Arabidopsis thaliana: one gene and its partner. The protein of the gene in region 2 interacts with the protein of the main gene of each other region in a biochemical or structural test. Each region holds a gene or a part of one and is shown on either strand. Other genes may lie near its edges. The genes, in order: SAMDC and WOX1.

The links.
Region 1: the proteins of WOX1 (region 2) and SAMDC form a complex in vitro, tested with the Arabidopsis thaliana proteins (one study listed by BioGRID).

What each region holds. Positions count from the first base shown.
Region 1 is NC_003074.8:499,229-516,243, reverse strand, and holds SAMDC (S-adenosylmethionine decarboxylase), read right to left. Parts: upstream 7,359-17,015; 5' UTR 7,242-7,358; intron 7,149-7,241; exon of another isoform or gene 7,094-7,148; 5' UTR 7,043-7,093; exon of another isoform or gene 6,940-7,042; 5' UTR 6,845-6,939; intron 6,448-6,844; 5' UTR 6,292-6,447; intron 6,197-6,291; 5' UTR 6,022-6,196; coding exon 4,921-6,021; 3' UTR 4,782-4,920; downstream 1-4,781. Other genes in the region: RTFL19 (ROTUNDIFOLIA like 19), read left to right, coding at 60-197; AT3G02490 (Pentatricopeptide repeat (PPR) superfamily protein), read right to left, coding at 640-2,637; AT3G02480 (Late embryogenesis abundant protein (LEA) family protein), read right to left, coding at 3,387-3,467, 3,553-3,621, 3,804-3,860; AT3G02460 (Ypt/Rab-GAP domain of gyp1p superfamily protein), read right to left, coding at 8,152-8,220, 8,456-8,554, 8,628-8,687, 8,777-8,974, 9,257-9,373, 9,457-9,627, 9,706-9,901, 9,983-10,134; AT3G02450 (cell division protein ftsH), read left to right, coding at 11,214-12,257, 12,336-12,659, 12,727-13,027, 13,169-13,368; TBL20 (TRICHOME BIREFRINGENCE-LIKE 20), read left to right, coding at 13,991-14,665, 14,778-15,259, 15,421-15,724; AT3G02430 (transmembrane protein, putative (DUF679)), read right to left, coding at 16,225-16,884. UniProt on the Arabidopsis thaliana protein: Essential for biosynthesis of the polyamines spermidine and spermine. Essential for polyamine homeostasis, and normal plant embryogenesis, growth and development.
Region 2 is NC_003074.8:6,157,599-6,174,613, reverse strand, and holds WOX1 (WUSCHEL related homeobox 1), read left to right. Parts: upstream 1-11,160; 5' UTR 11,161-11,430; coding exon 11,431-11,566; intron 11,567-11,669; coding exon 11,670-12,032; intron 12,033-12,161; coding exon 12,162-12,223; intron 12,224-12,967; coding exon 12,968-13,459; 3' UTR 13,460-13,881; downstream 13,882-17,015. Other genes in the region: MPK9 (MAP kinase 9), read right to left, coding at 1-141; HON4 (winged-helix DNA-binding transcription factor family protein), read left to right, coding at 3,056-3,265, 3,352-4,233, 4,777-4,842, 4,946-5,230; HAL3A (HAL3-like protein A), read left to right, coding at 5,985-6,320, 6,438-6,731; AT3G18020 (Pentatricopeptide repeat (PPR) superfamily protein), read right to left, coding at 7,099-9,165. UniProt on the Arabidopsis thaliana protein: Transcription factor which may be involved in developmental processes.

The DNA of each region.
Region 1 (17,015 bases), 5.7 Mb from region 2:
TTAGTATTTCCGATACAATCATTGTTATATCAACTGGTTTCTTAGGGACACAACTGGATATGGAAAGCATCATGAGCTTGAAGAGAAAGGAGAAGAAATCCCAAAGTAGAAGACTCGGGAAATATCTGAAAGAACAAAAGGGGAGGATCTACATCATTAGAAGATGTGTGATGATGCTCCTTTGTTCGCATGATTAATTTATTTATTACGATACACATATGTATATGTGTTTATTTTGTCCGATATGTAAATACATAATGTGTACTTTATAAGAAACAAAATACCAAATCTTTAGAGTACTAATGAATTCTGTAAACTCTTTGGATTAAAGGTCAATAGAGAAAAAACAAAGCTAAGAGACAACATAGACAACAAGATTGATAAATAGGCCTTTTGCTAAAAAGCCCACAAGACCAAATGATAAAATCTTAAGTTGGGGAAAGATTAGTAATGTAAACTGGCTTACGATGGAAAAGAGGCAGAGGCCTTTTTCTAAATAAGCCCATTTAAGCTACTAACAATCTTCAAAAGTCCCACATCGCCGCTATATGAAGAAAATTATAGCGATTAGAGTCGAGTAAGTGATTGTCCTTTTTGAATCACCACGTCCAGAAACAAAAGAAAACAACATATAATGAATTAAGCTTCAATTTGAGCAGGAGCAGGCAAAGGTTTCTCTAAAGAACATTTTTCAGGTTTCATGGTATTGAAAAGTTCTAGAACTTCTGCATTGCGACGGATATAACTTGGGGACATAGACAGTAAATCCTGAGCTTCACTATGCCTTGCAGACTTCAACATAGCTTCGAATACACGCAGAACCATTGAATTAGATGGAAACTTCTTTGAAGTCACAGCCTTCAGAAAAGCGAAAGCCTCTGCGCTTGTTCCACTATTCGATAAGTAATCCATGAACGGGTCCACGAAAGGAGGGAACCCGTGATTTCTCATCATAGGTAGAAGACTCAAAGCTTCTTCAAACCCACCATCTCTTGCTACCTTCTTCATCAACAGATTCCTCACCATAATTTTGTATGTACTGTGCCAAGGTTTCAACTGATTTTGTTTCACTAGCTCACTGAAAAGCTTGTATACATCTCTTGCCTGAAAACTGTTGCAATAAGCAAGTACCAACTTCTCAAATGCATAACCTGCATAAGAGACTCCCTCTTTCCCAATCATCTTCTTGAAACACTCTGAAGCTTCTTCGAGATCTTTAGCATCACAGTGCCCTTCAACTAAAGATGCCATTGCTTTATCATCTAAATGGTTTCCAGAAGCTTCCATAAAGTTCACAAGTTCGTTTGCTTCATCTTTCTTGCCCTTACGACTAAGTCCTGATGCAATCACACTCTGCAAATCACCGCTAGGAACATATCCACCTTCGTTCATCGCTTTCAACACCTCGTTGCTCTGTCCAAACCTATCAACGCTTCTCAAAGACTTGAGGACATGTTGCAGCATAACATCCGGCACAACGTTGCCATTCCCAGTATAAGCTTTCAAAGTTCTTGTAAATAAGTCCATGTCCAATTTCTTTGCAGTGACAATTTTCTTGAGCAGTAAACTGCAGCAGTGTGGGGTGGGTGTGTTGCTAATGCTACCTGCCATTGCAAACTCAAACAACTCAACAGCTTCTTTAATCATTTTAGTCTGACAGAACCTTGCTGAAACCCTAACATAAGTCTCCATTTCCATCTCGTAACCAGCACTCCTAATTTCTTCTATCATGTGCTGAAACCTATCAAGAAACTTCTCTTTCCCTAAAACCCTGGCCATAGCATTATACGTCTTCTCATCATGTTTAAAACTTCCAGACTCATCAATCCACCTAAAGAACAACAAAGCTTTCCTCGGATCCACGTCAAGTTTTTCCAAAACCATCTTTACCACATCACTTTTAAACTCGAGCTTCAAATCCCTTAGCTGTTTCTCTACATCAGCACCCCACACTTCCTTCATCACAATCTTACACACCCTATTGCAAACCTTGTCAACAGAGTTATCCATAGAACCTGAAGCAAATAGCTCTTTCAGCCTCTCCAAATCATTTTCTAGTCCATCTTTCTTAAACTTGTCACCGACTCTGTCCCTAACATTAGCTGAAACACCATGCCCTTTCTTCTTCATATCATCAACCAACCTCCAAAACTCATCAACTAATCCATTAACACCAAAAATACGCAGCATCGTGTTATAACTCTTGGAAGAAAGTTTTTGAGGATAAGCCTCCAAACCCCATTTGAAAAACCTCCCCGCAACATCAGGGCTTGATTCAAGTTCCCTCAGAACTCTCAATGCTAATTCATGGCTAATCACAACATCATTCGAATCCAGCTCTTTCGTAATCTCATCCTTACCATTCAATCTGCTAAAAACATCAATCACAACAGTCTCAGCAGGAAGTTTCTCTTCTATCGCAGACTCAGATGAAAAGCGTCGGCTAACAGAGCTCGCCAATGGCGATCGCAAGGCAAAAAGACACTGTCTTTGTTGCACTCCAAAACGTTCGTGGAGGAAAGAAGAGAAAGATCGAGTCGAATTGGAGATTACCTGGAACCGCGAGTGATGAGAAAGAAATGGACGAGGAGACGAACGGTAGCTCCGGAAAAGAAGCGATCGCCATTGATACCTCATCCTTAATGTCTATCTAAGCTACAACAACACTAGAGTTTGGCTTGATTTTGAACAAAAAGTTTGGATTTTTACGAATGGGAACGATGGAGCAGCAATGGCGCAAGAGAGAGAGGAAATGTTTAGGGCTTTAGACTAAACCTCTGACCAAGACGGAAGGTCGAGTATTTTTAAGCTGTCATCCTCCAACTTTTTGTAATTTTCATTTTAGCCACAACATTTTTTTATTTAGATAATTTTATCCTCCACAGCGATTAGGAAAATATGACCATGTCTTTTTGTGCTCAATCAATAATTCCTTATACTCTTGAAATGTTTTAGTAAGAGAATTGATCCAATCATGTTTTCTCACTAAATTTCCAATGATATATAAAAAACTGAAGGTTCCAAAGTTATTTGAGGAACAAAACTTCATCTAACGTTCCAAATTATCTTCATTTTGGATAAAATTTCCAAACTAACACTATAAGATATATACATTGTTTGATACTTACTTTCATTGATCTAATATTCTTTGAAGTTGTTAGTTGTTACTTTATACTTGAACACTGAAACCCACTCCCTTTTTTCTTCCACATTCATGATATTAAAAAGCATACTTTTATTAACTAGATAGATAAGATTACATAAAGATCCAAATGGACGCAAGGAAACAACATCAGAAAGTAGCAGGAATGAGAATTAAAACCCCAAATTTATTAAACACAAGTCGAAGAGGGGAATTAATTAGAAAAGAAGTCCAAGGTGCTTGCTTAGTGGCTTTTGTTCATGCCGGTCTTGTCCTTGACGACATCAGCAGCTCCTTGCGCCTTCTCCTTCATTTGTTGTCCAGTCTACAATTCACAATTTGATTTAAAAGTTCAATATTATGGTTTTACTACAAGGGAGCAAAATGAAATGAAAGAATCAAAACTGAACCTGTTGCAAGGAGTCTTGAGCTGAAGCAGCAGCATCCTTGGCCTTGTCCATCATTCCACCGGCCTTCTCCTATATTCACATAAGTTTAACATTATACATTATTAGATCAACCTTGTCTAAAAAGAACACCCTATCGTAATCCGTAAGTATTTGCGGGAAAACTATATGAATTTAGAAATGTAGAGATCTTTTACATATATTTCAACAAATTGATACGAAATGTGTAACAAAAGAAAGAGAGAGAGAGAGACCTTAGTCTGGCCAGTGGCTTGACCGGCTTGGTAGCTCGCGTTTTGCTTGTTGTCCATTTTCTCTCGTTCTGGTTTTGCTTACACTTTGAATTTTATGTTTTTGATTGATTGTTTTGTGTTTGATGATGGAAAATGATTGGAGCATTGGGTTGCTATTTATAACCCAGAGACGTGCTTGGGAGTCTCCACGTGTCGAGGACACGTGCATCGGTTCGAGAAACTTGCTGCAGTCGGTGGCTAGTTTTGGGATCCACGTGTTGGATAACCGTTTGACCAGGACATAAAAGACACATACGTGGTTCTCTCGATTTCTGATCCGCAAACGACACGGTATTATTTCACTTAGACTCCTCTGTTGCGCGATAATAGGATTTTGAGTGAAAGAAAATGTTTCCTTCTTCTTGTACTGTCGTTTTAAGCAATTTTTTCTTAATTTAACTAAACGTAATTATGGCAGAATAAGGTTCTAAGTGAAAACAAGAAATTGTGGTTTTGAAGTTTTTTTTGCCTACTATTATTCATATGAGTCATCATCCTTTTGTTAAATTATACTACCACTTTCTTTTTAGTTCTTAAAATTTTAAATAGTCAGCTCTAAAACTAATTTACTCATGCAAGTTGTTCTCTTCTTTTGATCAAAAGTCCACTTCTCCCTTTTTTTTTGGTTTAATACTCAAATTCTCCCTTTTTGTTTTATTTTCGTCTTTTTTTTTCTTTTTTTTTTAATATAGTACTATTTACGTAACCATAATTTGTCATCGGAAATAAAAAGATTAAGACAACTGAATTTTGTAATGTTTTGAAGATAATATTGCACATTTTGCTACATTAGTGTCAATCTCGTTTATTTTTCAACGAATCGTTAAAAAAAACAAATATAATAGTAAAAATCGATAATAGTAATCATCATAGCAGCAACATTTAAGAATAATAACATAACAAGTCTTTAGGTATATAAAACCCATATTCATAAAGTAGAAAACACCAATACAACTTGCTTGTGAAGGAGACGAACTCAAACTTCACAAGTCATTATTCATAAGAACTTAATAAGTTTTTTAAAAAGAAAGAACAAAAACAGAAAGCTCGAAAATAGTTATTAGGAAGAAAAATTCTGCTAGATTCCCTCGTCCTTCTCGTCCTCGCTGCTGCAGCTATTGTTGCTGCTCCATTCACACTTCAAGGTAGATCTAGGCGATCCACAGTACTTACCAAGCTTCTCAAACGTCTGATACATCACTGTTCCACTCTCTTCTCCTAGAGACTCAAATGTCCTCTCTCTGCACCCATAGTCTTCCAAGTCTACAGTAATCTCTGGCTTGTATGAGTTCGCTCCAACGCTCGAGTGCACAGCTACAGAGAATTGCTTGGGCTCGAAGCAAGAGAGAACCCTTGTCACCAGCTGGCTAAGGTCAAGGGTGTTGAAGTCGTAACCCACAGCTTCGAAGCTAGCGTAGCTAAACCCATCTTCAGGGGTCACATGGATCGTGGAGATTGCATCCCCTTCAATTGAGTTCATAGAGTAGCCGCAGGGCTCGAATTCAAAGTCGCAGATCTCAGACTTGGGAAGGATCTTTCTGATTCCAGAGTTATCAGTCATTGACCCAGTCTTGTCAGCTTCATCCTTGTAGAAGACAGCAGCTTTCTCTCTGTCCAGACCAGTCATGCACATCTCGAGAGTGTAGACATTGTTGTTGCAGTTGCTGGAGTCCTGGGCAGAGGCAGCATAGACATGCCATTTCTTAGTCTCATCATCATTGCCCATCAAGTAGGCTACGCTGTTCAAGCCCAGCTGAGTAAAGTGCCCATCAAGAACAGAGACTTCTTCAGAGAAGCTGCGGTGAGGAAAAGGCTGGCCTCCGGGGCAGAGGAAGGAGCCGCGAGTGTACTTCACAGACTTGACACTCAGAGAGAGCTCACCAGCCAGCTTTAGAAGTGGTGGGATAGAGAGGAGGAGCTTAGTGGTACCGCAAGTCTTGATGATGACTTTGTAGGGGTAGACAAAGAAGCTGGACTCAGAGAGTACGTAAGAGTCCAATTGATCGTTGGAGAGAGATGAAACGATCGTGCATGCAGCAGGTGTAAGAATTTCATCAAGCTGGGACTTGGTCAGAGCACGGAGTCCCAGTCCCTTGGAGTCTTGAAAGATGCTTGGCTCAAAGAAAGTCACCTCGAGCCGTTTCTCGTAACCTTCGAAACCGATTGCAGATAAGGCCATCTCGCCTTGTTGTGTGAGCGACAGGACTTGTAGTAGGAGGAGAGAACGATTGGATCCGGGAACCAGCAGAAAAGGAGCTTTGAAAGAAGAAAATTATAAACTGGAAAGTAAAGAAAGCTATAACTATATTATGAAGATCGGTGCACGCTGGTACTCAGGATGGCCTCTTGGAGCACTGCAACAAAAAGCAAAACATAGTTAAGAAGAGACTACATAATGGATACCATAGAGATTGAAGAAATCAGATATAGCATTATAGAGGAAACTCACGTTTGAGTAGACAGAAGATTTGAATTTCTTGATTCCACCGTTTGGACGAACGTCTTCAATGCTGTAACCGAGGGGAGCTTCGTAAAATAAGGAACTACTACTGCTGGACTTCTTTTTACCACCTTTCGACTCCATCATAATCTCATTCACGCTTTTCTGTATTAGACAAAACAAATCCAAAGGAAAAAGATCAGATGAAAAATAAAAATACCAGGTATTCAAAAGATCACACAACAATGTTTATCAGGACAATACGAATCTATAAACCATAAGAACCATTCAATTTTCAATTGTATATCTCGAATGATGAGTAGAAACCAATTATTATAGCAGATCCATAACTAAAAACAAAGCCTAAGACAATAGGCAATCATACATGTAACAAAACAAAAATCGAAACCAAGTCGTTGGTTTCAGGTATAAGTCAACCTAACCATGCATGCGAATATCAATCTCTTATACCAAAACCTAGGACGATAAGAACGATGTCTATCTAACCTAGCTAGGCTAATGAATCAATCGAAGAACGACGTCAATCGTGAGAGATACTTACATATATAAATGAAGATCGATAGATCAAGATCGCGAATTATGAACTCCTTGTTTCCAGAAACCCCTTTCTCCAGATATCAAACGAAACCCTCAAACCTGAAAAAAACCCAGAATTCACCGATTAAAAAACATTATCCTCAACGACGGAACAGATCTACAGAGAGAAAACGCAGATCTACAATTCAAAAAAGAGACTCACCAGATAGAGATGATTCAGAAAACCGCAAGACTTTCGAGAAAAGAGAAAACCCTAAATTTGAGAGAAACGATTAAGTTGATGATTTGGTAATGATGAAGCAATGAGATGCGTTCGTGAGGAGGAAAAGAAAGGTAGAAAGAGTGCCTTTATATAAGTACTAGGGTTATGCTCCCTGACAATTACGTATTTGACCTTATACCTTAGCGTTTATATCGCGTGAAGCTATCTGAGCCGTTGATTATTTCCAATTTGCCGTTCCGAGGTTTTTACCCAAATTACCCTTCAACCATTTACTTACGTTGGAATCGGTAGGTGCGAGCATCTCCATTCCTGACCGCAGATAAATAGCCCCAACTATTTTAACAAATTTGCTTTTTCCTTTCGCCGCAAGTAGAAATTATTTTAATTTTAGAGATTTGTTTCTTTATTATTTTTTGACATTATCTTTTGCGGAACAACAAAATATAAAACAGAGATGGGCCAACACGCTATATTAACCAATCAAAGATTGACACGTGTTTAGAAGATACGTGTGCCGTTGAAGCGGATAACTCGAGGCGAGCTGTCACGGTAGCGTAGCCGTGGGGCCTAAAAGAATCAAATTCTATTTCTCAAAGGCTCTCAACTGCTCCACTACATGACAAAATTGGGCCTCCCCGTGACTCACTCATGACTCATGTCCACCATTTGTCAAAAATCAACAAATAAAATGTATCAAAATTATAACCAATCACTATTGACCAGTGTGTAATTATTTATTCCAAATCTTTTTTGTTCAACCATAAGTCGTATTTAAAATTCTGAGATTTTGGACTAGTTTGGTACCATGAACCTTAAAGAATAAAAATACCTTTAAACAATATGATTTACTTTTCACATTAGTGATATCTCTCTAGGAACACTGGTCTCTCTCTCTATCTATACATCAGCTGGAGCATGCCTTCTTCTTTTCCACGAAATTGCTAAAAACAATCAGAGAGCTTCTGATAAGAAATTCCCACCCAACTTGACAATATGATGAAAAAAGAATATATTCCAACAAGAAAAGATAAGATGAGAAAACGAATTCGAATCCAACTTCTGGTTCAGGTTATTGCCAACCGGATTTCCTACGGTTGAACCGGTTTGGCATTAGTCTTCTGATACTCCAGTGTCAGTTCTTCCAAACGCTTTGATACCTGCCATGAACAAACAAAAAAACACAGTTGTTGATTATTCAAGAAAGCTGAGAGCGTTTTTCAAGTATACCATCAGATTTAACAACATCAATGCCCTCAATTAATCACTACAAGTAAGATTAAATTATCTATCAAGTTAATCATGTCGATATCGAGAATCTGATTCTTTCATATCTCTCCCGAGTTATCATGGAAATTTTACCAGAACATTAACTTTTCGAAAACGAAAGAGAACCTTGATAGAGTAAGCCAATGGAAGCAAGGTATCCGGATTCATTGCGTCTTCCGGGAAAGTTTTCAGAGCATGTATTAGTTTCTCAAACGGTAACTTTACCTGCAGAGTTAATTTTTTTAAAAAGGTTGGTTTTGCGAAATTAACTTACAGCTCGTAAATAAACCTCACTCACCAACTCATCTTGGCAATACTTGAGCAATGCTAAGCCCACTTTGAACACGATTTTAACACCCTTAAGAAACAATGACCATAGAAGATAACAGAATGAAACTTTGATCACAACAAACGTTAAAGAGATTTTAAGGATGCGCATTTAGTTACCTCGGAGAGAAACACATCCCATATCCGTAGAGCCAAAGGGAAAGGAAATGAGTATGAGAAGACGGTGATGAACCATTGACTTGCATACATACTCGGATTAATCATTTCTTGAGTAAAATGTTCTCCGAGCTTCGGAATTAGCTCTTTTACCAAGCTTTCTAACTGAAACAGGTATTGCTGTACAAGGGGAAGCCCTGCCTACATTACACACAAACCACTGACTCTTAAGAAATAGATGAAATGTGCGGCAAAGACATTACCTTGTTAAATCAAGGAACGAACTATACAGTAGCCTTTTAAATTGGATAGTTGATTCATAATCAATGACGAAAAACTCTCACCAGAATCGTTATAAACTTAATCTACAGAGAACTTTTTTAAAACGTGGTCACAAACTCTAACTCACGCAGAAAATACTCTTTTTGTTTCATTCAACTATACAACATTTTCTTGCAATCTTCTAATAATTAAAAGACTCACATGATACAGTCCTTCCATTGGAGCATGAACAGCTCCTTTAAGTAATGCAACTAATAACCAGAAGGCATCTTCTTCGCTCATATAGAGAAGCAACAAACCGGCTATAAACCCCATCCCCTGCAGATATTAGAATCATGAATCTTAGTCCCATACTAAAAGAAAGAAAAATGGGAAACAAGGGAAATATCTAGAGGATAGACCTGAACATATCCGACATCTCTGTCATAAACTGAGTATGCCTTAAGGACATTGTACAAGGATCTTTGCCCAGGTCCATGTCTCTTCTGAAAGAAAACATGTGATGGGAAAGTACGGGATATGTCTCGAATGATATCAAGCTCTGATGCAGATGTTTCATAAATCACCAATTGCTTCATAGGAAAATCGATAGATGATCAGAATATGACTCAGAGAAGAAACAATGTAAGGATATAAACGGCGAAGATTACCTCATAAACACCAGGATTCATAAGCAAAAGGTCTCGACTTCCTGAGATTAACTGCCAAACAAGACCTCGTAAGCAATCAGGGATCCCTTTTCGTATACGCCTTCTGACAACATTAGGTTTTCTCCTAACATAATGCTTCCAATCACTCCCTCCAACCCCAATCATCTTCCTCCATTTTCTCACCTTTCTCTCCTCTCTATAGATAGCCAACAACAAAAACACACTCTCACTCTCTCAATCATATTCTTTTAAAATTATTCGCTCCCTCAGGACATACCTGTCATGATCAGTGGATGATGTAGTTTTAGACTTGCTAAAACGCTCAGGCGAATTGGCATGTTCTTGCTTGAGAAACCCGAATCTATCCACAGGAACATGAGAAGTGGCTGGTCCTGATTCACTGCCATTTTCCGTTCTTTTTCTACTCATTCTACTAACCTGAAGAGACTCCTCCTAGCATTGGTTTCAGTCTCCTTGTGATCAAGCTCCCTAATGACACAATCATAGACCAATATATCCCAATAGTGAAATTTATACCATCAAAGTATAAACAGGTTCTCAAAGTAAAATCCTAAATCTAGTAACGTCGATCGTCCAAAAACTGTAACCAGTAATCATAATCAGCAGAAACGTGATCGTAAAAAATCCAGGAGAAATTAAAACTCACCTAGGTTTAGTCAGATCAAAAGATTCGTAACCAAATTCCTCGATGGGAATTGTTGGAATTCGATGGAACCGAAGAAGATAACCAAAACGAAAGAAATACAACGTTGGATGGAGATCACATCTGGGAACTCATACGCGTATATTACTATGGTGGTGGTGACTCAATCTTTGAATTTTTCATCCGCTTGAAGAAAGTGATGTTTTTCTTTTTTCCTTGCCGGAGAAAATATGAGTCCAGCCAGAAAAATAATAATTCAAGTGAAGCCAGCACGAAACGACGCCGTCGAGAGAGTATTATTATGATTAAATGGTGGTTATGCCAACTTGCTAAGTTTGGTGACAACTAAAAGATTCTATTTTCTAAATTGAGCACGATTTTGGGTAATTAGAGGCTTTATCACGACGATTATGAATTTATGATTCATAAAGTTTTAGGAACAAAACAATTTAATTGGGTATATATATATATATAGGCGTCAAATTAATTATACCAATTCAAAAAAATCAGTAACCTATTTTTTAAAATAAGCCCAAAATGAAAGATAGCCCAATAGCTAAAAGGCCCATGAGGCCATGACTCGATTTATAATGCCCAATGCTTATTCATACAGTTTTTCCTGTTCTGTGTTTTGTTTTTTATCTGTCAACCAAAAAAGAGCTTTTGCGAACTCTTCTTATCCTTTCAATTTAACAGAGTCATCAGCTTGAAGACGAAAGCCTTTCTAATTCCAATCTTCTTCACTTGTATGACACGTTCGTCTACTCTTGCGCTTGGTCGGTTTTCTTAGGATTTTTGCACAAGAATGATCAACGCATGATTCGGATTCCAGGATAGAGAATCCATGGCTACTTTCAATGTTCTTTGTAGCAATCGATTTAGATTCAATGGAGGTTATTCTCCGGAGAAATTTAATAGAAAGGTGTCTTCGAGGAGTAGTGAGCTTAATGTTTGTGTCTCTAGAATCAGGACTCAATCGTTTAGTTGCAGGAGACTTGGTGGGTTTATGGAAATTGGTGAAACCAGATTAGGGGTTATTAGAGTTCATGGCGATTCTCGTAATAGATTTTCTTGTAATAGCGAGATTAAGCGACTTGTGACTGGTGATTACGGAGATAAGGAGACTCGTATTGGTGAAAATGGTAGAAACAAAGGGAAGAGAAGAAGGTTTTCTCTTAGGCTTCGACCTAGATTACGATTAGTGAGAATGAGACTTGGCAGATTTGATTTCAGAGCATCAATGGAAGATTTTCGATATTTTTTGAAAAAGAATCTCAAAAGAGTGATCTTGTCCACCGGTGTGGCTTTAATCTTTGGACTGTGTTATTTGTTCTTGAGGTTAACTGCTGTTCCGTCCCCATCCATTGTTCCTTACTCAGATTTCGTTACGAATCTTCGAGGTGGTTCTGTTTCAAAGGTTTTGCTCGAAGAAGGCTCACGTCGAATCTATTACAACACTGATGAGAATGTTGAGGTTGTTGATGATGTTCACAAGTCTGAAACTTTAGAAGATCCGGCAATCCAAATTGATGGCGGCACAGTGACAGAAGCTGTTACGAAAGACGATACTCCGCGAAAGGTTCGAGCTTTGCCTCCTGTGTGGAAGTATGTGACAAGAAAAGTCGATCATGATGAGAAGTTTCTTCTTAGTTTAATGAGAGAGAAAGGCATTACTTATAGTTCAGCTCCTCAATCCGCATTGATGTCAATGAGAACTACTTTGATAACAATCATCTCTCTGTGGATTCCTTTGACACCTCTTATGTGGCTTCTTTATCGGCAACTCTCAGCATCTAACAGCCCTGCGAAGAAACGACGGTCTAAAAATCCCACTGTTGGCTTCGATGATGTTGAGGGTGTTGATTCTGCTAAAGACGAGCTCGTGGAGGTAAAAAGATACGTAAATGCAACGTTTATAGAATTAAGTTTGAAGTCCAACCTCCATGTGTTCTGTTTTTCTTTGTAGATAGTCTCATGTCTTCAAGGAAGTATAAACTACAAAAAACTAGGAGCAAGATTACCGAGAGGTGTGCTTTTGGTCGGTCCACCAGGGACCGGTAAAACCTTGTTGGCTCGGGCTGTAGCTGGAGAAGCGGGAGTTCCATTTTTCTCTGTCTCCGCTAGTGAGTTTGTTGAATTGTTTGTTGGAAGAGGCGCAGCGCGAATCAGAGATCTTTTCAATGCAGCAAGGAAAAACTCACCTTCCATTATATTCATTGATGAGCTTGATGCGGTTGGAGGAAAACGCGGTAGGAGTTTCAACGATGAACGTGACCAGACGTTAAACCAGGTAAAGAATCAACATTTAGTACCCTTTTAACCATGTAGACTCCATTGCTGATATACTTCCTTTGTAGTTGCTTACTGAGATGGATGGATTCGAGTCAGACACGAAAGTCATTGTAATTGCAGCAACTAACCGACCAGAAGCGTTAGACTCGGCTCTTTGTCGGCCTGGAAGGTTCTCTAGAAAAGTTTTGGTTGCAGAACCAGACCAAGAAGGCCGTCGGAAAATCTTGGCCATACATCTGAGAGACGTTCCTTTAGAAGAAGATGCATTTCTCATATGTGATCTGGTTGCTTCTTTAACTCCCGGATTTGTAGGTGCTGATCTCGCCAATATTGTCAATGAAGCTGCATTGCTTGCTGCTCGTAGAGGTCAGTCTTTAAGTGATCTTTTAACAGCCCTTTCTTGATTTAAGTAGTTATTCGATCTGGTTGCTTCCCAGGTTTGATCTTTTGGGATGAAGCTGCGGTTTTTGGCTTAACAGACACTAGCGATTTCTTGATTGTTTTCAGGCGGAGAAGCGGTGGCACGGGAAGATATAATGGAAGCTATAGAGAGAGCGAAGTTCGGGATCAATGATAAGGAAGCGAGGCCAAGGACGTTAGGAAATGAACTCAGCAAGATGTTCCCATGGATGCCATCTTTGGCTAGAAGAAACGGACCAGATCAAGACGGTTTACAAGGACCGTTAGGTTATCAAACTCTCAGCTAAACCAAACCAAGACAGACCGGTTAGAGAGCAAATCCATTGATACCAAGTTTCTTTGTATCTGAAATTTTTGGAAATGTACGTTTTTTTGTGTGTTTACATTGCAAAGTCAATTGCTTTTTGGTTCGTAGTACCTTCCAATTTGACAAATCTCTTAGATATATTATTAACCTAAATTGCTCTTTTAAAACGATCTTCTTATACTTAAAGAGAAGTAATCCTAAGCCATTCGACATATTTGGTATCTAATTAAAGGCATACACTTTGAAATATAATATCTAAAATCTCGAATAAATGCTAAACAAAATTTCTAAAATATATGATCTACAGTATAATCCTAACTACAAACTACTACACAATATCCTTATCTGCCTTAAAATCGTGTATATCAATCAGAAAGATATGATAGTTAACCTATCTAATATTTTATAACATTCTACTTCACTATATATATATATATATATATATATATCAAACGACTCATTCGTTTTTTTTTTTTAGCAATGTCCCAATCAATTGGTAACCTTGTTTGATGCTAATCCAATAATCGAAATTCTTCCAAACATCTCTCTCATCCATTGAACATAAAACAGAAATCCCAAAACTATTCTTTTTCTGTTTTTAAATGATACTTTCTCGGAAGAAGGAGATGGAACTTCCTGCGACAAAGTTACGAATAGGACTAGTGATATTTCCTCTTATTCTACTTACGATAGCTCCAATCCTTTATCTCTTTTTTGGTTATCCTCTCTATTATTCAACATCAACATACAAACATTTATCGAATTCATCATCGTCGTCGGCAATATCTTCTCCATCTAGGTATAACCATTCATCATCATCATCAGATAGTTATAAGACAGAAGATTCAGAACCATCGTCGTATGATAATGATTACGACGACACATATCATGATCCCAAGTCATCATCTTTGCATAACAATGATCGTCTATCCATCTCATCATCGAATGGTCATCATCAAGTAACTCCTAAGAAAGAGCACCGCCGGAAAAAGAGAAAACGTAAATGCGATATATTCTCCGGCGAGTGGATCCCAAACCCTAAAGCCCCGTACTACACAAACACGACATGCAGGGCGATACACGAACACCAAAACTGCATCAAGTATGGAAGACCTGATTTAGGTTTCATGAAATGGAGATGGAAACCTAAAGAATGTGATCTCCCTCTGTTTGATCCTTACGAGTTTCTGGAAATAGTTAGAGGAACAAGAATGGCGTTCGTTGGTGACTCCGTTAGCAGAAACCACGTTCAGTCTTTGATCTGCCTACTCTCTCGGGTACCAATTCTCTCAATGCTTATCCAACTTTTTTATTTATTTTATGACAATACTTACTCGTTTAATACATTACTTGATGCAAAAGTAACCTTGGTTTAGATATTAATTTCAGGTGGAACATCCTGAGGGTGACTCACAACAGGAGTTTAATTTCCAACGATGGAAATACAAAACGTACAACTTCACGATCGCCACATTTTGGACAACACATTTGGTTCGCGCTGAAGAAACGGAAACCGGTCCGACAGGTCCTAATTCATTCTACAATCTCTACCTCGACGAACCTGACCCTACTTGGGCTTCCCAAATCGGTGAGTTCGATTACATAATCATCTCATCTGGACAATGGTTTTTCCGACCACTCTTCCTTTTCGACAAACAAAAAAGGATAGGATGTTTGTATTGCTACATTCCCGGAGTCAGAAATGTCGGGGCACATTTCGCGTATAGAAGAGCATTGAGAACAACATTCAAGACAATTCTTGGATTAGAGAATTTTAAAGGAGAAGTGTTTCTGAGGACATTTGCTCCTTCACATTTCGAAGGTGGAGAATGGGACAAAGGTGGAAATTGCTTGAAAACGCGACCATATAGGTATACATTGTTCATCCGACATTTTCTAAAATATTAGTTTCTTCTAGAATACTTTAATATTATGAGTTTTGTGTTTTTTTTGTTGTTGTTTGAGTTTTCATTCGTCACATCCTAATAGAAACGTCTATATATTCCTTTGGGTTTCTTTTGTGTTTATATAGGAGCAATGAGACAGAGTTAGATGGTATGAATCTAGAGACACACAGCATTCAACTCGATGAATTTCGCATTGCAAACAGAGACAAAAACAGAAATGACGGATTAAATTTGAGATTACTAGATGTCACACAGATGATGTTGTTAAGACCAGATGGACATCCGAGCAGATTCGGACATAAACGAGAAGATAAAGTTATCTTGTATAATGATTGTGTACATTGGTGTTTGCCAGGTCCAATTGATTCATGGAACGATTTTTTACTAGACATGTTGAAAAATAGAGATTTAAAGAGATTAAAATACTAGTACGTAGAATCTAAATTTTCTCAGTTAAACCCTTTTTGTTCATTTGTAATTATATACGAGTATGTTTGGTTACGATGTGGTATTTAGAAAGATCTCTTCCCTTTTTGGCACGGTTTTCATAATCAGATATAAGCTTTTAAGTAATTTCAGATCTTAATTAACACATTGAATATTTAATGATATGGATCTAATATAAGTTTATGGTACAAATGAAGTAAAATAGTCAACGTTTTCCAAGTAACATGTCAACCGTACATACATTAATGTATTTTACATCAAAAAGTCCATGCAATGATTTTAGAATTCAAATAAATAAAGTCTATTTGAATTAGGAAAATTATATATATTTGACACAAAATTAAAATTTATTAGTTTAATAAAAAGAATAATGGTCATAACGTATATATACAAATTATACAACTTTACAAACAAGAAAACAAACGAAAATAGTCAACCCACCATGCAAACGCTACCGTTTCTAAATTGGTTTTAATTATAAATCATCGGCGATCTACGCTACCGGTAACAAGATATCCAATTCCGTGGCGTCTCGCCGGAAAAACCATAAACAAAAGGCTACACATAACCCCAACACCCACCGGAACAATGTCCAAGACATGTTTCGTCTCTGCCTCCGGCGACGGATAAAAGCAATCAGTTATATACTTGTCTCTCAACGCAACCGCTCCAAACACTAAAACCGACAACGTAGCGTGGATCCAATCAACGAACCGCATCCGATATTTGGCTAAATCGGGTAAACCTAACCCGGACGGGTCAGGATAGTCAACGACCCACATGCCTTTGAACGTTACGAAACCGAAGTAGATAGTTCCATCGTCGGCTTTAACGCTATCGGTAAAGGAGCTGACGAAGCAAGACGCGGCTAAGAGGAAAAGGAGAACGGCGGTTAGGAAACGCGTTGCGTGGTCGCAAACGCCGTTTGAAGTGAAAACCGGCGTTAGGAGTTGAAACGCGAGGAGTGTTCCCGTTGGGAGTAGGTTTGAGAGATTGGCTGCTGACGTCAGGGTGTTTGACATGGCTCGCTGAGACATTGACATCTGTCTCTTGAGCACCCGGGATTCTGACGGTGTCTGATCGGATAACTCGTCGAGCTCCGGAGCCGGAGTGTTTGCGTTTCTTAGCCGAAGGGCAGACATCTTTTTAGTTTTGATTCTTTTCAGGTTTCGATCGTTGGATTGATATTGGTGAAGATAATGATGATGATGTTTTTTTATAGATGCTACGATATAGAAACAGCTAATGATAACTTAGTTTACGCATAGTGGAC
Region 2 (17,015 bases):
CCGTAAATTACTAACAGATAAGCGATCACTTGATGAAGCAGAGTGACGAGAGCTGGTGCTGTTACTGTTGGTCAGAGGATGATTAGAAGCATTCCGAGAATGAGGATGATTATTAACGTTGGTGCTGTGACTAGCACCCATCAAACACCTCCACCACCACTTTTAAACTAATTTTAATTTAATTATCATCGATTGACAATAACAATTATTATTAGTAAATAATAATGATTTTCACGTCGTCGACGCACGAATCTCTCAGGTATGGCGTGCTTCTCTCTTTCTAATTCGACTCTCCATTACTATTATTTTTTGTTGGCTGGTTTGGTTCTCTTGTCCGAAGGATGCGGAAGATAGAAGAAGAAGAAGAAGAAGAAGATGAAAGGTGGGTTTGGCACGTGCGACTCACGTGAAGCGTGTGTTTCTCTTTTTCTTAAAGGGCATGTTTGACTATTTACATTGCTTTTTTTTTAATTAACTTCATTCACATGGCTTTATAACACCTAAAAACACCGCAGATGAATTTAACTTGCGTCCGTGACATAACCAGATTAGGAAAAATTAGGCTAACAAAATTAACAAATCGTATAACTATTTTTTGATAAGGACAGTATATAATATTGAAATTCAAAAAGCGTGTTTGAGAAAAAGAAAATAAAAATGGTGGTGGTGGGTAGGGCCAATAGCCTAATAATAAAAGAAGGTTATGTTTGAGATAATTGTAAGATGCCAGCAAATGTCTGCTCTGTAACTCTTCTAATGCACGTCTCCGGTCGTGTGTGACTCGAGAGGACCCAACCAAATATGCAAAAACATTTAAATAAAAAACATAAACAAATCATTTCAAATTCGAGAGAAAAATAAAAGGGTCTTAAAACTGTTAATTATGCAACAGATAGGCCCATGTAATGTTGAGGTCCATCACATAAGTAAACATTATATTGAAGGCTGATAATTCGGCCCGTTAAAAGTGTTGTTTATAAGAGGTTGTGTGTACTGTGTAGTGTGACATATCAGAGGCGACAAAACATATCATAATCTTTTGTTTTGTTGGAATTCTGGTGTGGTGATCGTCTTTTGTCATCTGCTTACTTGGTGTCTGGTGATTGTGTCTTCTGATCGTCTATTACCAGCCGCACTTTGTTTGACCCTTGCTTGAAAGTATTCGAGCACACGCATGCACACATCACAACACAGATATATTAGTATTAAAAGAATGAGCATACATAAATTGTTGTATGAAAACGACACGACTCAGGTGATACTTGGAGTTTGAATGATGAGCATATATCGGGTTTTACTTGCGCTTAATGCATAAGCATAAACGTACTGTACTCTTTATAATATCGTATTGTAATGTCAGTAATATGTACCAACAATTCTCTTGTTGGATGATTCTTTTTGGGTACCGTGATGTATGGGCTGGCTTTACCAAGGAGATAGGTGTGACACTTGTTCCCCCATAGATTTATCAATTGTTCTTAGTCCCATTGATTTTATTTGAGATTTGCTACTTCAAAATTCAAATGGTGAAATCTATCCAACTACCCTTTTGAATCCACACATATAATACACAAAAGTTCATTAAACAATATTAAAATGTCAAATGAAAAAAAAAGTTCTTCTAAAAAAAAAAAAAAAACATTAACTATATGTAAAACCACTAAATATCTTTAAAATTATCGCTCACTTTGTATCCTTTACATTACCCGTTAAAAATGCTTGTTTGTTATAAATTTTGCATTAAACAATTATAAATTCTAGTTTTTCATATTTTAAATTTTCTTAAATTCATCGTTCACTATTTATCATTTTTATTATAATGTTTAAATAAATAACGCTTCTTTGTACAAAACAAATTAAAATTTGCAATCAATACTTACTAATTGCATGTTTTTCCATATTTTGAAAATTTTAAAACTTATCTTTCATCATTTAATATTTCAATTATTCTTTTAAATATATCACGCTTATTTGTGATACAAGACAAAAGAAAAATGTATTTAGCACTTGGTAAATATATTTTTCCATATTTTATTTTTTTCATAAAGTTATCTTTCATCATCTATAATAAGAGGTTTACATTTATTTGTTATTTTTGTTTTACGTCGTACATTTATATATATATATATAGATATATATATATATATATATCAAATATTTTGTTAAAATGCAACTAAAGTTAAAATTTAATTCAAATGTAAATATCATACATTACTGTTTAAAAATATTTTAATGTCTTGTAATTTTTCCTTAATGAAAAACATATTTGATGTATCATTTTGTGATTAAGTTAAAGGGTCGCAAATAGATATATACTCTAACAAAATTCACAGAAAATATAAATTTGAAACTAAATTTTATGTAAATGTATCGATTTCAAATCCTAAACAGAGGACATAGAAGTTAGTAATTGCATTTGTTTTGCCATACTCATCTCAATACATCTCTTACTTATCATACACTCTTTAATGGAGTTTGTTACATGGGTTACTTAATGTAACAGTGTTTGCTATATACTTCATTCGATGTTATTCTAAAATCAACAAAATTGTTTTACACTGAAAGCGAGGAGTTCTTTTCAGAAAAATAATTTAAAATTTTGGCGGTCCATTTTTAAAATTTTGGTGATTTTTTATTACATTGGAGCGAAAATGTAGCAAAATTCTAAGAGGCAAAAATGAAAAAAATCAAAGTAAAGAAACACAAAATCCTTAAAATAAAAGACAAAATGATATGACACGTCATCGATCCTCGTCAAAACCGTCGATAGAAAACAAATCAACGGTTAGATTTAATAGTAATCTTTCTTCTCATCCTTTCGTCTCTACTCCTCCGCCTCTCTCTCCCCAACCTAACTTTATTTATTTCTCTCACAAAAATTTTATTTTCACAAAAACAAAAAAATCAAAAGAGCTCTCAGAGCAAAAAACAAAAAAAAAGAAAAAAAAACCCTAAATCTAAATCTCACCTTCCACCTCTGTCTTTTTTTTTTTTGTTCTTTTTTTTTTTTTTACTGTATCTTCTCTTCTCTTTGCTCTGCAAAAATCTCACATCCATGGATCCATCTCTTGGTGATCCTCATCATCCTCCTCAGTTCACCCCTTTTCCTCATTTTCCCACCTCCAATCATCATCCTTTAGGACCAAATCCGTACAATAACCATGTCGTCTTCCAACCGCAGCCGCAAACGCAAACGCAAATCCCGCAACCGCAGATGTTTCAGTTATCTCCACATGTTTCAATGCCCCACCCTCCTTACTCCGAAGTAAGTTCAATCTTAAAAGCCTCTTCCTTTATAACTAAATTCAGTTACTTTTTTTTTTGTTACTAATTTTTTTTTTCTGTGTGTAGATGATTTGCGCTGCGATTGCGGCGTTAAACGAACCGGATGGTTCGAGCAAGATGGCAATTTCGAGATACATCGAGAGATGTTACACCGGTTTAACTTCTGCTCATGCTGCTTTGTTGACTCACCATCTCAAGACTTTGAAGACCAGTGGTGTTCTTTCTATGGTTAAGAAATCTTACAAAATTGCTGGTTCTTCTACTCCTCCTGCTAGTGTAGCTGTTGCTGCTGCTGCCGCCGCTCAAGGTCTCGATGTTCCCAGATCTGAGATTCTCCATTCAAGTAACAACGATCCCATGGCTTCTGGCTCTGCTTCTCAGCCTCTGAAACGAGGTCGTGGTCGTCCTCCTAAGCCTAAACCTGAATCTCAACCACAACCACTACAGCAACTTCCACCGACCAATCAAGTCCAGGCTAACGGACAGCCAATCTGGGAACAGCAGCAAGTTCAATCACCTGTTCCGGTTCCGACTCCGGTTACAGAGTCGGCGAAGAGAGGACCTGGTCGTCCAAGGAAGAACGGTTCTGCTGCTCCTGCTACTGCACCAATCGTTCAAGCTTCGGTTATGGCTGGAATTATGAAACGTAGAGGTAGACCACCGGGTCGTCGAGCTGCTGGGAGACAGAGGAAGCCCAAATCCGTTTCTTCTACTGCCTCTGTGTATCCTTATGTTGCTAATGGTGCTAGACGCAGAGGAAGGCCTAGGAGAGTTGTTGACCCTAGCAGTATTGTTAGTGTTGCTCCAGTAGGTGGTGAAAATGTGGCAGCGGTTGCGCCAGGGATGAAGCGTGGACGTGGACGACCACCTAAGATTGGTGGTGTTATCAGTAGGCTTATTATGAAGCCTAAGAGAGGACGAGGACGTCCTGTAGGTAGACCCAGAAAGGTAAATTTTCACATCCCCCAATTCTGTATTCGTGATCTCGATTTTGCAATATCTGACGTTTACTGTGCATGATTGTTCACTGCTCCGCCGTCAATTTAGATTGATAAAGTTTGATACTTGTGTTGCAATCATTGTGGAATTCAAACTCAATGTCACTTTCCGCTTTTGAGCATTGTTGTCTGTTTTCGCGTATCCAAAATCTGACTAGTATCTAGTGTTTTTATTATATTTTCGTGTCCCTTACTTTTGGCTTATCCTTATCTGGTTTCTCTGTTTTATTTTAATTTTCGTTTGGATAATTAAGACCAAAATAGTCGGTAATGTATCGCTATAGCTAGGAATAATTTTATCATCAATTAGTGTGTTAATCCGGCTTAATGGTTTCTAAGTCATCACATAGTGTCTTCTTCTCTGTATCTTCTATTTTACTAGTAACGTGTTCAATTGGATCTAAAGTAAGACTTCTTAATTTAACCATTAATGTCTTTCTTGAATATGTTATACTTTTATCCAACAATTTTATTTTTTGGTTCATGAACCTAGATTGGAACATCAGTCACGACTGGGACACAAGATTCTGGAGAACTCAAGAAGAAGTTTGATATTTTTGTAAGTCTACTTGTTGACAATAAACAGTTTGGCTGTCCTTTATTTGATTAAAGTATTCGATTCTACTTGCTTATGTTTGGTTTTTGTATGTAAATGATTTCAGCAAGAGAAAGTGAAAGAAATTGTGAAGGTGTTGAAGGATGGAGTTACAAGTGAGAATCAAGCAGTGGTGCAAGCCATAAAAGATCTGGAAGCACTAACAGTGACGGAGACCGTTGAGCCACAAGTTATGGAAGAAGTGCAGCCAGAGGAGACTGCAGCACCACAGACTGAAGCTCAACAAACTGAAGCTGCTGAGACACAAGGAGGACAAGAAGAAGGACAAGAAAGAGAAGGAGAAACACAGACCCAGACAGAAGCAGAGGCAATGCAAGAAGCTCTGTTCTGAAGAATAATAATGATCTAGAAAACAACCTAGACATAATAGCCTTGGTGTTTGGCGTTAGGAGTGTTTTTTTTTAGTTGTTTTAGGTGTTGGAATCGCATCTTAAATTATATAAAAATCTATAAGGAATTTTAATTTTTCTAGGTTTTGTTGTCTGCAGAAGAAGAAATAGTAGACTCGTTAATGGTGTTGTTGTCGGTGTGTCTTTAACCAAACCATAAGACGTGGCTGTAAATTAGCGATGTTTCTAGTCTTCCATCTTTAATAATCTCTTATTGCGTCTGTGCCTTTGTTTTTTTCAATCTGTCTTCTGCTCTCTGCTTCCGCTTTGCACATTGTGGAGATGTTTTCGTGTCTATTTTCCACCCAACGGTTTTAGCAGGTCGACTCTTACTTAATTTCTTACTAATAATATCTTCATTTCCATCTCACGTTGGCTCAAAAAGCTATATAACTTTGACTCGAAAACATGTTAGAGTTAACACAACAGTCGAACTCAGAATCGAAATTGCAGTCCAAACGAAGTAAATATAAAATGAAATATATCGATATTCACAGCCCATACGACCGAGGCCTAAAAAAGAGTGAGTCAATGGCCCATTTGACCAGCAACTAAAATGATTGTCCTCTCGGGCCTCTCTCTTTCTCTTCCCTCTAAAACATTTTGATATTCTCTTCGACCAGATCAATTTTTCGGTTAGGGTTCTTCGCCGAACCATTGGCTACTTTGCTAGATCTCTGAAGGTGTAAAAGAGCTATGGAGAATGGGAAAAGAGACAGACAAGACATGGAAGTGAATACCACACCGAGGAAGCCTCGTGTACTACTCGCTGCAAGTGGAAGCGTCGCTGCTATCAAATTCGGCAATCTCTGCCATTGCTTCACCGAATGGGCAGAAGTCAGAGCCGTCGTTACGAAATCATCTCTACATTTCCTCGATAAACTCTCTCTCCCACAAGAAGTGACTCTGTATACTGATGAAGATGAATGGTCTAGCTGGAACAAGATCGGTGATCCTGTCCTTCACATCGAGCTTAGACGTTGGGCTGATGTTTTAGTCATTGCTCCTTTGTCTGCTAACACCTTAGGCAAGGTAATTTAACAAATCGACGAAAACCCTAAACCAACTACTTAGATTCAATTGTGTGACTTGTGAAAACATTCATGGAGGATTCAATTCATACAATATATTTTTGTTGTACCTTTGTAGATTGCTGGTGGGCTTTGTGATAATCTTCTGACTTGCATTATACGAGCTTGGGACTATACCAAACCACTGTTTGTTGCTCCAGCTATGAATACTTTGATGTGGAACAATCCTTTCACTGAAAGGCATCTTTTGTCTCTTGATGAACTGGGAATCACACTTATTCCTCCTATCAAGAAGAGACTTGCCTGTGGAGACTACGGTAATGGAGCTATGGCTGAGCCCTCTCTTATCTATTCCACTGTCAGACTCTTCTGGGAGTCTCAGGCTCATCAGCAAACCGGTGGAACTAGTTAAAACCATGATTTCCACAACATGCATTTTGTGGAAAATCATCTGTTTTCACTATCTTAGATAATAGTAGATTTTATCAGTCTGTTTGCTTTTCTTGTACATCTCAAAATAGCTGTCTGGATTGATGTATCTGGAGGACCATTTGCACTACTAGCTCCACTCTGTTTCTGTAGAAATGTCTATGTTTCTTTTCCTCGCTCTTAAATGTTGTCTTCAATTCTGCTAATAGCTCACTGAACTTTTGAATTTGCCAGCAAAAATTTCACAGAGAAACAAACAAGCCCACTTTTTTACGTTTACCAGTGATCGTGATATCAAAATGCAAGATCCTTGAGCCCCAAAACATGAATTTTATTGCTTTTGAAACAGTCTATCCTGAGGTTGCAGGGTTTGAAATTAACTCTCTTTCCACAGTTAGATCCATAGAATCATGTAGTTTATCGAGTATCCGCCATGTAACAGCATCAGGAGCCTGACCGTTCTTCCTCATCTCCTCCAAAATCTGGTACGCTTCTCTCTTTAACCCACTTCTGCTACACTCAGCAATCACAGTATTATAGCACACAACATTAGGGATTGCTCCAGAATCTGCCAGGTCATATAGGAAATGGCAAGCATCACTTAGATAACCAGACTGACAAAGCCCTTTCAGAAATGCTGCATACACAAACGCATCATGTCTGCCTGATGGCCATATCACATCATCCCAGAACTTCTTCGCCATATCCACCTTATTAGTCACACACAACCCGTCAATGATTATTGCATATGTAGTGCTATCCGCAGTCACACTCGCCTTTTCCAGCTGACCAAACACAGACATAGCTTCATCTCCCTTGTGGAGCTTGAACAACCCACGTATAACAGCATTGTATGCAACAACACCTGGCTTAATCTTGTTCTCCGGCATAACGCGATTCAACACATCCAGAGCTTCTTCTGCTCTTCCTTGAGCGAGCAAGCCACACATAACAGTATTTAAAGTCACAGCATCTGGTGCACAGAACTTCCCTGTCATCATATCATCAAGAACTTTCATGGCATCGTCCACCCTGCCCATCTTGCATAATCCATTAATAACTGTGTTAAGTGTATACTCATCAGGCCTGCAGTCTCCCTGAAGCATACTGACCAGTACGTTCAGGATCTCAGTCGGGTTATCCATCACGCAGAGACCGCGTAGATAAATATTATAGATTCGAGTTCTATCTGCTCCTTCTTTTCTCAACATCAGCTCTAGAACATTCCTGGCTTTACCCGTGTCCAGTTCCTTGCATAGACTCTCCATTAGGAGCTTATAAGTATACTCAGACGGAAAAAACTCAAATTCAGATCCCTCTTCTAGCAACTGATAAGCCCTCATACACCCACCATCCTTGCACAAGCCATGAATTATAGCATTGTATGACGTTCTTCTCGGTTTTAACCCTTTACTCTTCATTATATAAACAATCCTCGCTGCTCCATGGTTTCTCCTGTATCGACACAAGGAATCTATCATATGCCCGTAAGCAAATTCAACGTTCACAGACTCGCATAGTGACATGTTCTCTGCAATCTCAAAAATATCATTGAAATACCCTTCCCTGCACATAGAATCAACGAGATTCGCAAAAGCTGCTGCTTTCATTGATGTATCAGTCTCATTCTTCATGTATTCCCATAGTTCCTTCATCAGCTTCCGTCCTGTTTCAACATCTCTCATTTTCAAAAACCCACCAATAAGAACACTCAATGTGAGAGAATTAGGCCTTATGCCACACACACGCATTTCGTCGAACACTTTATGAGCAACTTCCAGTTCTCGAATCTCACAGTAACCACCGATTAAAGTTGTGAAAGTCACAACATCTGGGAGATGCCCTCTGTTTCTCATATCGAATACTAGCTTATGCGCATCGATTACTCTATAGATCGTACACAACTGATTCATCAAACGGTTGTAATTCGTCAACGATGGCACAAACTCCTTCTTGAAACCGATCAAACGGTGTATAACTCCCAACGTACTCACCGGAGATCTCGAATATAACAATCTTGCGATGATAACGTTGCAGGTTCGCTCGTCTGGGATAAAACCTGAAGCGAGGAAGAGTAAAAACCGACGGTGAGCTTCGTCAAATCGTCCGGCGTCACAAAGAGAGTGGATCACACTGCTGAGGTTAAGCGAATCAGGACGATACCCACGGAGGCAGAGTCCGTCTAGAATCCGAAGAGCTTCGTCAGGATTCCTCCGTACGGCGCAGATACTGTGTATCCGTCTTCTCCAGTAAGCTCTATCGGTTACACTGCGTCGACGATCTTCTGCTTCTATTGCATCATCTTCTCCTTCGACATCATCAGATTTCAATACGGAGGCAGATGAGAAAGAGAGGGATTTAGAGAAGAAGAAGCCATTTTCTCTGGCTCGTAGTCGCAGACGAGTGACGAAGAACATAACTTTCGTAGCAATCTCTGTTTCTCTCTTTCAAAACCGGTTTTTATACGACAAGACATTTATAGCTTGTTTGGGCCTAATCCGATTTCATTGGGCCAAAGTCTGATTTATATAAGCCCAGAGTTCTTTTTAATCAATTTTTTATATTTATTTTGTATATTAGTTAAGTTCACTCAATGTGATTATTTTTCCACCAAAATCTTTCATTTATTCTTATGAATTTACCTAATAAATAGAATATAAAAGTGTGAAAAGAAAAAAAATCATGCTTGAAAATATCTCTGTTAAAAAGAAACGTAATGATTCAGAGTGCGTGCGAAATCACGTATGATAACAAGCTTGCAACTCAGAAAAAGTACTTGACGTTTGAAGAAAGCCATAATTTTGATCATATGAAATTATGAATGATTATCGTAATTTCTTTAAAACAAAAAATAGAAAGATTGATTAAGTGATACACAATTCAGTTGTAAGCCAATCATATTTCAAAAACTATGAGATTTTATCATTTTTCAGAAAGAAAGAAAAAACATAAGATTTCATCGATTTTTCTAAAAAAAATCATATTTATTAAGTTTGAAAGATATATCACAAAATAAAAATTGAGATAATCACTTTGTTCATGTATGTCATTATATAATACCTACACCTTGAATCCATCGCTACATCTCAAACAAATGAGGGAAATATATAGTTTGATCACATAAACATGAGAACAAATAAAAAGCAAATTAGATCATTTTTTGGTACATCTTTTTCAAACTCAGGGATTAATATATTTACAATTTTTTCCAAAAAAGGGAGAAAAAACAAAAGGATTAGATTAGGGCTTGGGAAAAGACAGAAAAGGGGGATTTAAGATCCCAAAGAGAAGAAAGAAGGAAAAGGGTTTTATCTATGGAAAAGCAATTGTTTGAGAGAGACAAAAGGAGAAGAGGTTAAGAGTGTAAAGGAGACAAAGCCTATGGGGCAGTTGAGAACAAGAATAATAGTGAAAGCCACAACACACACATACATACACATATTTATTTAGGGATCTCATATTCGTCGTAAAAAGACATATTAATCTAATACTATAGGATATATAAAAAATGAATGAAAGAAACCAAAAGAAAAAAAGAATGAAAGAAAAGGAGTGATGGGGAGAGATGGGAGGAATGTCACGTCGTTATAAGCTCCTTCGCATCTCCCCATATCATTCATATCATATCCCCCCAGAATTCCACGCCCCTCCGATCCTCTCTCTCCTCTTTTACTAGTCAACCTCATCTTCCTAGCTTCAATTCTTTTATTTATCATTCCAAAATTATGTAGCTTAGTGAAATTCCATATATAGCTGATCACTGCATTTATTGAATTCGCTTAACAAATTTAAAGTGATTTGTCAATTATCATCACTGTACTTTATTACGTGTTCAGGGTAGGTGTATAGTTTTATCACCGTGCTTTAGCTAGGGTATAAAATTTTGTGACATATATTTGGTTGGGACGAAAGTTAATTTTTTAAAAATCTATTTATATGTCAGTTTCTATGTATAGTGGTTAAAAGTACTTACATCATCCGCAGAGTAATCACGTTTTGATTAGCATTCTAGTGGTACACATTGTACATGAAAGCTTTTATCATGCAATCTAAGCTTAATGTCTATGAATCTACATGTTTTTTTTAGTTAAATGAATCTACATGTTACATTAATCGTATTGTGCAAACAAACATTCCATAGCTTCCTACAAATGTATGATATGATAAAATTTCATCATGGGAAAGTACTATATATATAGGTCGTTTACTAATCAAGGATTATATAATGTTATGTTTCTTTTCTATACAAACATATTTATGATTTTGCAGGACGGTTGAGAATTTTTAAAGTGAATGGAATAAAAGGAAATAAAATAAAATAAACTTTTCTATTCATATGTAGAATGTTAATATTCTGTATTTAGAAATAAATAAAAGGATGTGTTAAATTGTCTACATATACACACACACACATATGTGCTTACAAAACCACCCCATTTGCATGCTCCCATTCTCACATTCACATACAAAGATATCTCTCAACTTTATCACTCTTCTCCAAACCCATAAGCCAAAATAGCCAAAACTACTTTCTACCATTTGTCTATTACTCCTTCAACCATATCATTCACATCTCCTCAGTTTCGATAAAACAAACAAAGCCCTAATATTTTTACTTGCTATATCGCTGTCTCTCTCCCTTCTCCTCTATAAACATACATATAAATTAAGTACACACCAAAATGTGGACGATGGGTTACAACGAAGGAGGCGCAGATTCCTTCAACGGAGGAAGAAAGCTTCGTCCTCTCATCCCACGTCTCACTTCTTGCCCCACCGCCGCCGTAAACACCAACTCCGACCACCGCTTTAATATGGGTATCTCTTTCTCTCTCTCTCGTCAATTTTTGGTGAAACTTTCCAGTCTCTCTTTCCCTTGTTTCTAATGCTCATTTTCTTGCTTTGGTTACGATTTTCACAGCAGTGGTGACGATGACGGCGGAGCAGAACAAGAGGGAGCTGATGATGCTAAACTCAGAACCTCAACATCCACCGGTAATGGTGAGCTCACGGTGGAATCCGACACCAGATCAGTTAAGGGTTCTTGAAGAGCTTTACCGACAAGGAACTAGAACTCCTTCTGCCGACCACATCCAACAAATCACCGCACAGCTACGACGGTACGGGAAGATAGAAGGCAAAAACGTTTTCTATTGGTTCCAAAACCACAAAGCCCGAGAACGCCAGAAACGACGGCGACAAATGGAAACTGGCCACGAAGAAACGGTCCTTTCAACAGCAAGTCTTGTCTCAAACCACGGATTCGACAAGAAAGATCCTCCAGGTAAGGGACCATAACAGAACTTGGGGATTAACATTCAAACAATAAAAGTCTTTTTGGATTAGAATGTCTTTTTGGGTTGATTTCATTTCAAAATTGACGGTTTGAAAATTCATGTCTGGAATTTTGCAGGTTACAAGGTTGAACAGGTCAAGAACTGGATATGTTCGGTCGGATGCGACACGCAACCAGAGGTATATATCTCTATTTATACATATATTTGTTTCTAAATTGATATTATTTTATGATATGTATTATGTATATATGTTGCTCATATTCTGTGTTTATAATGGTCTTGGGGTTTCTATTACATGAAAGGGAGTGTAATTAAGGATTGAGGGTTTACATATATAATTAGCATATGATTACAAATAGAATCTGCTAGCTAAGAATAAGTGAATTCCTTTTTGGAAGTTTGGGTAAGTTATTGAAAGAAAAAAACAAAAGGCAGAGAGATGAGGCGGTGGAAAAGACCAAGAAGTTAATTTATGGGGAACTTCAAAATAAGTATTTTTGTAGCATATGCAAAAATACGTATATTCTTAGCATATAATTATGGTTTTATTTTGTTTGAATATTAGTAGTATCTTTTTAAAAAGATTATTGAATTCATCCAAAAAGCTGCAGAGACTTTCCTTTCTGTCGGCACAGCTGCTACGTACGATCGATCCTTTAGCTCTGTGTCTTCTTGTTTTTGCTGAATTTCCATAAATTAATGTGCTTTTTCACTCCAAACACATGCTTGAAAAGACCCTTTTGACCCTGGTCTTTAACGGTCTCATTCTTCTTCACCCCTGTCCCTATCTGGAATTTTGTTTTAAGCATAAAGTTTGTCGCTTTGCCAAATTTTGACTTATTTGTTACCAATTTTTACATTTTCCGATGCTAATTTGACTAATTTCAACACATCTTGAATGTTCTTTCTTTTGCATAATTAGAAACCTTCCCGTGATTATCATCTGGAGGAGCCAGCGAATATACGGGTGGAGCACAATGCTCGTTGTGGAGGAGACGAGAGACGAAGCTTTTTAGGGATAAACACCACGTGGCAGATGATGCAGTTGCCACCTAGTTTCTACTCTTCTTCACATCATCATCATCAACGTAACCTCATTCTCAATTCACCTACTGTTTCCTCCAACATGTCCAACAGCAACAATGCTGTCTCTGCTTCTAAAGATACGGTCACGGTTTCACCTGTATTTCTACGTACGAGAGAAGCAACGAACACAGAGACTTGTCATCGAAATGGTGATGATAATAAAGATCAAGAACAACATGAAGATTGCTCCAACGGTGAATTGGATCATCAAGAACAGACACTTGAGCTGTTTCCACTGAGAAAAGAAGGGTTTTGTAGCGATGGTGAGAAAGACAAGAACATTAGTGGCATTCACTGTTTCTATGAGTTTCTGCCATTGAAGAACTAAACCTAATTGAAGTCTTTCAAGAAAAACAGCTTTTTGTTATTAGATGATTAGTTTAATTATTCAACCGAGTTAGGGAGAGTGAAAAAGGATAATTAGGGTTTTGTCTAGGAGTAAGGGCAGGCGTGTCTTTATGGTGTTGATGTTAACATTTCATAAGGGTTTGCCTTAAAATGCACTTTGGACCACTTTCTTTAATTGTTAAAAATGAACCAAACAAATTTAAAAAGGAAAAGAATAGAAAGACATGTGATTTTCCCAATAGTTTTTTCATTTGTGTGGATGTGGTGACTTAGGGTTTAGATCATGAAACTTGCTTGATTTGGTTGGTGAATGAAGCTATTTGGTGCTTTGGTGATGGGATAATCTGTTACGAGAATGGGAACTCGTTATTACTCTACATCTTTCCTTTAATTTCATGCGTTATTTCTAAAGAATATCTACACACACATGCATGATCTATATATATATATATGTGTGTGTGTGTATGTATGTGGGGATCTGTTTCTATGAGTTATAAATGCGCGAGAGACAAAAAGAATTGGGTTGATGTTGAAATGACTAAGAGAGTGGGAAAATATTATTGGTTTGGCACTTGTTTTGTTTTTCTCTTCACTAGCATACGAACAATATGCCTTTACATTTGCTATTATATATACAGTATATTCCTCAAAATTGAATGACTATTCGGGTCATGGTTCTACTTCTACCTATAGTAAGAGATAATTTTATATTTTTTAAGAATGAGAGTTTAAAACATATTATTCAATTAATATTTATTTAAACAAAAATTTCCCATAAAACACTAGCTAAATTTTCATTCATCTATGTCTTACGTACGAATTTTAACATTTTGACAAATTTTAAACTAAATTGAAAGCTTCGATAAGCTTGGTTTTTGATGAAAGCATGAAAGGAATTAGATCACAAGATGTATGATTAACGAATGAGGAAGAAAGCCTAGCCACCATAAATTTCAAATGGGGAAAATGACAAGATATATATGAGGGTGGGAAGGTGAGAAAAGGAAAGAAGAGTGACTTTTAGAGTAGAGAAGAGACAAGACAAAAGAAAAGAAAAATAACTGAATAGCTTATTCATAGAAGAAGCCCCGACACTTTCCTTTCTTTTCCCAAAGATTCATTCATTCTTTTATGTCTCTTTGTACGATTCAGTGAGACCCTTTTCTTTATTAATAGTTTTAGGAGAAAGATCGTGGGTAATTTTATTTGTTTGTACTGCTTATTTTGATACATTATCATTCCCTATCTATTCCTCTCTTTGTATTTGCTTTATTTCTTTTTCATGATGATTGTGTGTTTGTGATTCTTGCGAGCATGGAAGTAAGCAAAAACATCACTTTAATAAATTTTATACGAAAAAAGTAAAAAGCAAGAAGAGAAAATATTAATGGGTAAGCGTACAGTCAACAGATTACCACACGAACGATCCTATGAACTATAAACAATAGATATTGTTGTTAGGAAATAAAGAAACATGAATCTTCTCGTGAATTGTAACGAAGATTAATTGTAAAGTCTAATCGTACGGTAATAATCTTTTGGTTATTTATTTCCCTGGATCATGATTTTTTTTATGTCTGCTCCGGCCTTTGATTCATCGTAGTATATCATCAGTGACGTGTGATACTACTATGTAATAATACTATATGTACTATAAGATTTAGTCACTACAAATAAGAATTCATATATCACGTGACGATTAGTGAAATTGTGATATACTGATATATGTATCATGTTTGGCAAACGTGGAATCTTAATCACAATAAAACATATAGTAGAGGATGATTTGAATAATCCTGCATGAATATGATCGGTAATTTCAAGATGATTAATTCACATGATCATATTATATATATATATATATATATATATGATGTATTTTGTCCATTTTCATGATCCATCCATGTAAAGTTCTTTTGTTTGTCTTGTTAAAAAACAAAACCATTTATAGTTTTATATTCGTGTTTGATGTTTTGATTAAGGGCTTTATATATAAGAGTATATAGATACGTGCGTGGCAGTAATCATGCACATGATGGTTTTCTCCGTGGGTAATTCGTATTTGTCCCTAGCTACAGAAACCTCTAGCTGTATAGCTAAAGTCTAATACAAGAAACTCACAGAAAAATCCATCAATAAATCTCATTCAAACTTATGAGTTAAATATAAGTACATGGTATATATATTGTTAACTAAAATAGACCCAATTTTTATACTATTATATTTAGATTTAGTCATGTAGCACATAATATATCATTAGTATAAAAAATGTAACTAAAATTTACATTAAAAAAAGGAAAGATCGTGGAATAGTGCTAATAAATTGATAATTTGAACACTGTTAATAACCCCAGCGGTGGAACAGACAAATTAAACAACGAAGAGAGAGAGAAGAGAATGTGACAAGACTGGAGGAGGGGTGTGTCTGTGAGGGACAAAATGGTGACAGTCATGAGGTGGACCATTGGTTGGCTGTGACTCACCCGCTTCTCTCTGCAATTTCCTTATTTTGGTTTTAAATGCTTTCATGTGATTCATTCTCTTCTACCATCTCTCTCTCTCTCTCTCTCTCTCTTTGCGAAAGAACCAAGTAATCAAATATATGATTAAAGCCTATTTTCAAGCTTTCTATATTGTATAATTGTCAGTGATCTCTCTTATCATGAGGTCATCATAATCAAACATTACAATATATATGTCACATGTGTACGTATATATATACATGTCGACAAAATAATATACAACACATACACATTAACACTACGTACTACTATATTTACAGTATTCTGACAATGTAAGACTGCATCAAATTCTCTCTGTGTATATATATATTATTTTAATTAGCTAGCTACTGAGGGACGTAGCTATTATGGTCTATAGATTTGTGGTTTCTTTCTAAAATCTACGAAAATGTAACAATATGTCGTTTTTTTTGTTAAGCGTTGGGAGATTTCAAATGGTAAGAAAAAGGGTGGATAGATATTGCAAATAAATTGACTGAGAGAGATTGGAATTGACACTGTTGAATACAGAAATAGAACAGTAGGTGGTGTGTTAGGAGAGGGTACGTAGGGTTGGGTCAAAACCTAAATAGGAGGAGTCTGACGAATCTAGTCTTTTGAAGGTGTGTGATTTCAAGGCTTTTCTTTCTTTACCTCCATCCACACACTATGTTGCACAGTCCTATGCCCTATTCGGTACCCTATGGAATGTTTTTTTTTTTATAAAGAAAATTGAATTATTTTTTGACTACTCCAGGTCTCTCCTACAATGAAACATTTCTCATTTATGCAGTATATTGATAGGTGTGAAAAAAAATCCGCAATATAAGTCAAGAAATATGCAGTATTAACAGATAAGGGCAGGCTTTGGGGCCTAGAAGCCCAAAACAGGGGTCTCATTTTAGATAGAGAGAGAATTTGGTAAACCGCTGAATCAAACACAATCCCAAATCAAGGATATATATGCCTGGTTTGGTTTAAGTTGAACTATATCCAAAAATGGTAGCCAAATTTCCATTTGACAAATCCGGTTCT